Linked DNA regions of Neurospora crassa OR74A. The protein of the gene in region 1 interacts with the protein of each later gene in a biochemical or structural test. Links are inferred from orthologs where the notes say so. Each region holds a gene or a part of one and is shown in the gene's direction. Other genes may lie near its edges. The genes, in order: NCU03808 and NCU07058.

Region 1 (3,914 bases):
CTACATCTCTAGGATTAAACTGGCCAGCAGCCCAGCCATCGTTCCCCTGTCTTCCCAGAACCTGCCTTAAGACAGACCAGCCCTCACTTACATCTTCTCAGCCGACCACATCCACCGAGTTGCGAACATGCTCATTCCCGATAACCACACATTTGGTTTCTACTCCCCGCTTCACCAGAACTGCTCATCGCGATAGCCTCAACTCGAACTTGTTACTGCGAGATATCGTTCACTCCATGACATTTACTATTAGAGGACTTGTTGTACCAACTCGACCACGTCATAGAAGGAGTCACTAGTAGTGGTGTCGACCTTCTCCAGGCCCAAACCAAGCAACAAAGACCGCTGCTCATTGGGGTTGCGCAAAGTCAGGAGACTGGCAATTTGACTGGCATAAAGCTGGCCCATGGTCTCCCTCTCCGCATTTCCACCTCCAAGAAGAGTCGTTGCTGTTAAATGTTCTGATGGTAACAGGCTACCGGCGCCAGGCAGAGCCATGTCTACTGACGCGGAAGAAGGTGCGGCTAGTTGTACTTGGACCTAGAACATGGTATGTTAGTAGACTGTAAGTGGGATGGCGTTCGGGCGCTCTTGAACCTACCCACTGAGCAAGGCGCCCACCTTGAGAAATGGTGACCATGATCTTGTCCGAGAAGTTCATTGATGAAACCTCAGTTTCCACTCCGTTGACAAGCCCAGTTGCCTGCCTGGAAGGTGACGGGAATGGCTCTTGCCTGACTGCGTCCTCAGACATGGTGAGTTCTGGATGTGGTGAAGTATGGACAGTTGCAAGACTCGAAAAACCGCGTGTGTTTCAAAGGATAAGACCGTAGGGGGATAACTTCGGCTTCTGTACTCCTGGTCGGATAGTACTCTCTGATGTCTCTACTGCGTTCATATTCAGAGTTTAGACGCGGGACTCCATCGTGATGTTTGTTGATGGAGCCGGAGTGGGCTGGGCTGCAGAGTTCAGGATGGACCCACGAAACATAGCAAACTGTACGCGCACTGTAGCTGGGTTACTTCAGTTGCTGTCCTGGACCCTCACAGGCCCCCAAAACGTGGGGTGCCACATTTAGCGCAGAAATTCTGCCAGGCGGACAAGATTTAATCTTCAAATCTTCAGGGTACTTGGTGACTTTCAGTTCGTTGCATTCTGCCGTCGCGACACCGGCCCTCATTTCTGCCGTCACTGCTCGCCTCGAGCACACCCGATAAAACAACAACATGGCTGTCATAGACGGGAAGTTCGTGCCGCGTCAGCGCAAGCGCAAGCAGCTTGATCGCCAGCGGTCGAGGAGTAAGGGAACACAAGACCCCGAAGACACCAACGTCCTCGAGATCGCTCCTGGACAGGAAACCACCACGGATGCCGAAAAGAAGAAGACCGAGCTACGGGAGGAATTGAGGCCTGCGGGTGTCAAGGTCAGCAGCAAGAAGGCCAAGAGACTCGAAAAGTACATCGACACAAAGCTCAAGAAGGACGAGAACCGCGAACTCCTGGCCAAGCTTGCCGCCAACAAGATCGACACCTCCCTATTCTCAAGCACAAAATCACTAGGCCAAACAAAATTGACCAAAAAGGAGGAGCTCAGCCGGCTTGTCAAGGAAGCAAAAGCTGGACTTATAACAGAGAAGGAGGCGGCCAAGAAACTTTACGAAAAGCGAGAGGTGAAGGAAGGTGCACCAGTACCAAAGCCTAAACCCACGGTCGACGAGGATTCAGAGGGCTCGGAAGATGAGCAGGACTCGGCAGCCGAGAAGCCAAGGAGCGCGCCAGCGGAAACAAGCGAGCCTACACCAGTACAAGCGACGACATCGTCAACAAGCCTGCCAGTACCTGTCGGTGCTGGTCTCAAGCGCCCCTTAGAGGTCGACGAGTCAGGACGCCCAATACTTGCCAAGAGACAAAAGAGAGGAGGTGTGAAAACGAAGCACAACTTTACATCATCGCAAGCTCCCGCAGTCATTCCTGTGCCGGAAGTGGTAGAATGGGACGGTTTCAGTTCGGAGGGCGAAGAGGGTTCAGACGATGAAGAGTCTGAGGGTAGTGGTTCAGGCAGCGAGGAAGAAGGCAGTGAAGAGGAGGAGGAGGAATCGGGAGAAGAGGATGGATCTGAAGAGAACGGAGAGGGTTCCGAAGATGATTCAGAAGACGATGATTCTGCGGAAGAATCCGACGAGGACATGGAGGACGCCGAGGAGGACAAGAAAGCAAAGTCTTCAGCCTTCAAGGCTTGGGCGCATCAGGCGAGGAACGAAGCTTTGGGTTACAAGCCTGCTGAATCAAGCATTCTCGAGATACCGAAACCTGCCAACTTTACGCCTCGGCCGATCGAACAAGAGCCTCTGCCTATCGAGCTGCAACCAACAAAGAACGATTCCCGCAAGGCTTTCGCCGTGGTAGTTACCAGGACACCCGAGATCCAGGAAACTCGTTTCAGGTTACCGGTTGTTGCAGAGGAACAGAAGATTATGGAGGCCATTCACGACAACGACATTGTCATCATTTGCGGTGCCACCGGTTCCGGCAAGACCACGCAGGTTCCCCAGTTCCTCTTCGAGTCCGGTTACGGTGTTCCGGATGGACCTACTCCTGGCATGATTGGTGTCACCCAGCCGAGACGTGTCGCTGCTGTCAGTATGTCGAAGCGTGTTGGCGAAGAAATGGGAGACTATTCACATGTGGTTTCCTACCAAATCAGATTCGAAGGCACCGTTGACTCCAAGACGGCCATCAAGTTCATGACGGATGGTGTCTTGCTTCGTGAGGCGGCCATCGATATTGCTCTTCGCAAGTACTCTGCCATCATCATTGATGAAGCCCACGAGAGAAGCGTCAATACCGATATCCTGATTGCGATGCTCAGCAGAGTGGTCAAGCTTAGGAGAGAGTTGGCGGAGGAAGACCCCACGATCAAGCCTCTCAAGCTGATCATCATGTCCGCCACCCTCAGGGTTGAGGAATTCACCCAAAACTCTAACTTGTTCCACACCACTCCTCGCATCATTGAGGTAGAAGGCCGTGAGCATGCTGTTACCATGCATTTTGCCAAAAAGACAAACCACGACTACGTTGATGAGGCATTCCGCAAGATTTGCAGGGGCCACAGGAAACTGCCCCCTGGTGGCATGCTTGTGTTCATGACCGGTCAGGGTGAAATTGCCCAGCTCAGCAAGCGGTTGAAGGCGCGTTTTGGTGGCGGTATGAACACCGCCAGCACCACCAAGGTGCGGATTTCTGCGAAGGAGGCACCCATGGAAGTCGAAGACATCGACTTTGGCGACGTTGAGGATGACCGTAACATCAACGACAGAGACGATGACGATATCTCCATTGCGTCGGACGAGGAGGAAGACAAGGAGTTCGAGATTGAGGACCAAGAATCTGGTACAGGGCCATTGAAGATGCATATCCTACCTCTCTTCTCTTTGCTCCCCACGAAAGAGCAGATGAAGGTGTTTGAGCCGCCCCCAGAGGGCCACCGTCTCGTCATCCTGGCTACCAACGTCGCTGAAACATCCTTGACAATTCCCGGCATCAAGTACGTTTTCGACACTGGAAGGTCGAAGGAGAGAAAGTTCGATCCTGTCAGTGGCGTCCAGAGTTTCGAGATTGGGTGGATCAGCAAGGCCAGCGCAAAGCAGCGTGCCGGTCGTGCCGGTCGTACCGGTCCGGGACACTGCTGGAGACTCTACTCCTCGGCCGTTTACGAAAGAGACTTCCCCGAGTTTTCAGAGCCCGAGTTGCTTCGCATGCCCATCGAGGGCGTTGTGCTCCAGCTCAAGTCCATGAACCTCCAGCATGTCGTCAACTTCCCCTTCCCCACGCCGCCACCGCGTGAGAGCTTGATCAAGGCCGAGAAGCTTTTGACCTACCTCAACGCCATCTCCCAAACTGGCCAAGTCACCCC
Region 2 (3,880 bases), on another chromosome or scaffold:
GACGAAGGGGGTGAGCTTTGTTGTTGTTGGATCTTGTTAGCATAATTCTTTTTTATTCTCTTTTGTCCTCCATTCTCGGTCCCTCCCCTAGCACCAGATCCCCCAACACATCCCATTCCAACCCCAAACCCGGACGGAAATAGAGGACCACCCACCTTGAAACCGGTCAGGTCCGGGCACACATAGGTGCGGACCTTGGTGTAGTCGATCTTGTAGGTACCGTAGCTGGTGTGCGTACCCATGGAACCGGTGCGGTTACCCTTGTAGAAACCCTTGTTGACGTCCTTGGTGGTCAGGCGCAACTTGCGGTACTTGAGACCTTGGAGGATGCGAGTGGGCTGCATGGTGGGCTAGGAGGATTGCGCTTTGCGGGGCAACGACGACGGAGAATTGCTTTTTGTGGTCGGTGATCTGGGTGGTGGAAGCACCTCGCTGTGGTGAGGGTGGTTGAGGTGGGCGCAAGTGGGACGGAGACGGGATCCGCTTTAGAGTGTTGAAGATCCGGCGCACGCGACAGGAACGGAGACGGGACTCGGACTCGGACTCGGACTGGCGCTGGACAACACGGACGGCGACGGGCAACGGGCGACGGGCGACGGGGTTGGAATCGAGAAATCGCAAAGACGTCCGGGGCCGCGCCGGGTTGAGGTGGAGCCATTTCAGAAGTTTGGAGCTCAATTGAGCCAATGACGTGAGGCTGGGAGAAACAGGTACCCCTGTAGCCTGCTGCGGCCCCGCAAAATGGGTGGGTGTTGCGCCCTCACCGCCCGAAAATTATCGATTACAGAGGCGGCAGAAAAAGTTTCGGGGGAGCTTGTTCACTGGCAGAAAGTTGAAGGCTTGGTGGGAGTTGCCGTTGAAGGGACCTGACCACTTCGACCTCCAGGACCCGTGCAGGCAAAAGTTGGACATTGACATCCATCGATTCATTCCATCCAACCACTGGACTTCGTCGACAATCTCATCACCCAATTTTTGCTTGCTCGACCTCGAACTTAATTGACTGAATTACCTTCCGACTTCCAATCAGTCAATTCTCAAATACCAGCAAAATGCCCGGCCGTCAAGCCCACGGCAGGCCTCTAATGCCCAAGTCGGGCGGCGGAGGGCGTCCCAAGCACAGAGTCAACAACAAGACTGCCGATAGGAAATCCAGAAACAACGTCCTCGACGCCTTCGCTATTGCCGCCGAACAAGTCCCCCAAAAGAAAGCCAAGGGCGTCCGCACACGAGACCTCGACGAGCCCGAAGAGCGCCCCCAGAAGAGACAACGAGATGGCGACGACGAAGACGATGAGGACGGAGACGAGGATGAGGAAGATCTCGAGGACGCCAGGCCACAAAAGAAGAAGGCCAAAAACAGCGACGATTTCGAAGGCTTCTCCGACGGTGGCGAGGACAGCGATGGCGAGGAGTGGCACGTTGGTGTAGGCGCTGATGACGAAGATTCCGAACTCGACTCTGATGAGGCCTTTGGTGAGAGCGACGAGGAAAAGTTCGATGGCTATGCCTTCAGCGGGAGCAGCTCCAACAAGAAGGGCAAGAAGGCGAAGAAGGGTGGAAACGACAGTGATGAGGAGGAAGAGGACGAAGATGAGGACGATGACTTGGAGTCGCTCGGTTCCGACGCCATCGATCTCGCCACAGCACTGGATCAGTATGAAAGCAGCGAGGAGGAGGAGGGCGAAGAGGAGTCAGGATCGGAAGACGACGCGGACAGCGAATCGAGCGAAAGCGAAGACAGTGACGACGATATGGAAGACCCTTCCAAGCTCGACGACCTCCAAAAGATGATCTCCGGGTTTGCGGGCGACGACAACGACGACGAGGAGCAATCAGGCTCGAAACCAACAAACAAACTCAGTCTCTCAGATCTCGGCCTCCTTGGCGTCCAGGACCCCCACATGAAGAAGTCTCTCAAGCTCATGAACAAGGAGGAAAAGGCCGCCAAGCCTGGGCAATCCAAGAAGCTCGACATCCCCCTCGCAAAGAGGCAACAAGACAAGCTCCTCCGCTCCGCCGCCTACGAAAAGACCTCCGAGACGCTCGAGCGCTGGATCGACACAGTCAAGCACAACCGCCGTGCGGATCACCTGGTTTTCCCCCTCGCGCAAAATGCCCACGACGCCGGCCTCGACAGTCAAGAACTCCTTCCCGTGACCAAGGCCACGGCGGGTACCGAGCTCGAACAGACCATCTTGGCCATCATGGAGGAATCCGGCTTGGGACCCACTAACAAGCCCAAGAAGGAGGACCAGGATAACGTCGAGGAGATTGCCGCTCGCAAGGGTCTCTCGGCCGCTGAGATGCAAGAAATCACCCGTCAGAAGCGCCGCGAGCGTGAGCTGTTCTCGCGCGAGCAGGCCCGCCAGAAGCGCATCAAGAAGATCAAGTCCAAGGCGTACCGTCGCATTCATCGCAAGGAGCTGCTCCACGACGAGCAGGAGATGCATGATGCCATGGTTGAGGCGGGAGAGATTGATTCAGAAGAGGAGCGCGAGGCTCTGGACAGGAGGCGAGCCCTCGAGCGCGTCGGTACTCGTCACCGGGACAGCAAGTGGGCCAAGCTCGGCAAGAAGGCCGGTCGCGCAGTGTGGGACGACAACTTCCGCGCTGGGTTGACAGAGGCTGCTCGCCAGAAGGAGGAGCTGCGCCGCCGGATCGAGGGACGCAGAAAGGGCGAGGAGGATTCTGAAGACAGTGGTTCCGACGATTACTCTGCCGAGTCTGGCGATGAGAAGAAGAACAAGAAACGGTTGCTGGAACAGCTCGAGCACGCTGCTTCCTACGCGGATGGCGAGGTCGAGTCGGGGCTGATGCAGATGAAGTTCATGCAACGCGGCGAAGCCCAGAAGAGGAAGGAGAACGATGAGATGATTGCGCAGATTCGCCGAGACCTCGATTCCGACTACGACTCTGACGATGTCGAAGAGACGGACATCGGTCGGAGGCAGTTCGGTATGGGCAAGACGGAGATCATACTCCCCGGCCAGCAGGCTGCTCAGAAGAAGAAGGAGAAGAAGAACATCACAAACGACATGTCCAATCTCCAAGTAACACCACAACAAGCAGCCACCACCCAAGTCGAGGACACTTCCCTCGCCGCCTCCGTCGCCGGTGCCTGGTCCAAGGCTCCCCAAGAAGGTCGCAAGAGCACCAAAAAGGCCGCCAAGGTCTCCGTCGGCGAGTTGGACCTCTCCAACGCCGCCATGCTCGCCTCCAAGCCCAAGCCCAAGTCCAAGGACGCCGCAGCAGCCAAGGACAAGAAGTCCTCTGCTCCCGCCACCACCACCCACGACGACTCCTCTTCCGACGACGAAGAAACGATCCATCTCCCCCTCGCCATCCGCGATCAAGAACTCATCAAGCGTGCCTTTGCAGGCGAGGACGTCGTAGGCGACTTTAACCGCGAAAAGGCCGAAGTGGAGAAGGAAGACGACGACAAGGAGATCGACAACACGCTTCCTGGCTGGGGCGGCTGGGTAGGCGAGGGCATCTCCAACCGCGAGAAGAAGAGGCACACAGGCCGGTTCGTCACCAAGGTGGAGGGCGTCAAGAAGGAGAAGAGGAAGGATTTCAAGCTCAAGGGGGTGATTATCAAGGAGGGACGGGTTAAGAAGGTTTGTTACCCCTTTTATTTTTACCCCTTTTTTCCCCTTTTTTTTTTTTTTTTTTTTTTTTTTTTTGGTCCTCGCTTCGCTCGATCTCTATGTCTATATGCGGAATGGGGGAAAGATGCAGTCATGATAAACGGACGCTAACAAAAAAACAATAGAACGACCAATACCTTGCCACTTCCCTCCCCCACCCCTTCGAAAGCCAAGCGCAGTACGAGCGCTCGCTCCGCATCCCCGTTGGTCCCGAGTGGACTACCAAGGAG

The links.
Region 2: the proteins of NCU03808 (region 1) and NCU07058 form a complex in vitro, tested with the Saccharomyces cerevisiae proteins (3 studies listed by BioGRID). The link is inferred for Neurospora crassa OR74A from reciprocal best matches to the Saccharomyces cerevisiae genes ECM16 and UTP14.

Annotation. Positions count from the first base shown.
Region 1 is NC_026505.1:2,474,407-2,478,320, forward strand, and holds the start of NCU03808 (pre-mRNA-splicing factor ATP-dependent RNA helicase PRP16), read left to right. Parts: upstream 1-1,158; 5' UTR 1,159-1,227; coding exon 1,228-3,914. Other genes in the region: NCU03807 (hypothetical protein), read right to left, coding at 250-540, 602-754. UniProt on the Saccharomyces cerevisiae protein: Probable ATP-binding RNA helicase. Required for 18S rRNA synthesis. May play a role in restructuring of the pre-rRNA.
Region 2 is NC_026506.1:331,848-335,727, reverse strand, and holds the start of NCU07058 (small nucleolar ribonucleoprotein complex subunit Utp14), read left to right. Parts: upstream 1-795; 5' UTR 796-1,052; coding exon 1,053-3,620; intron 3,621-3,775; coding exon 3,776-3,880. Other genes in the region: NCU07057 (hypothetical protein), read right to left, coding at 1-15, 156-344. UniProt on the Saccharomyces cerevisiae protein: Involved in nucleolar processing of pre-18S ribosomal RNA.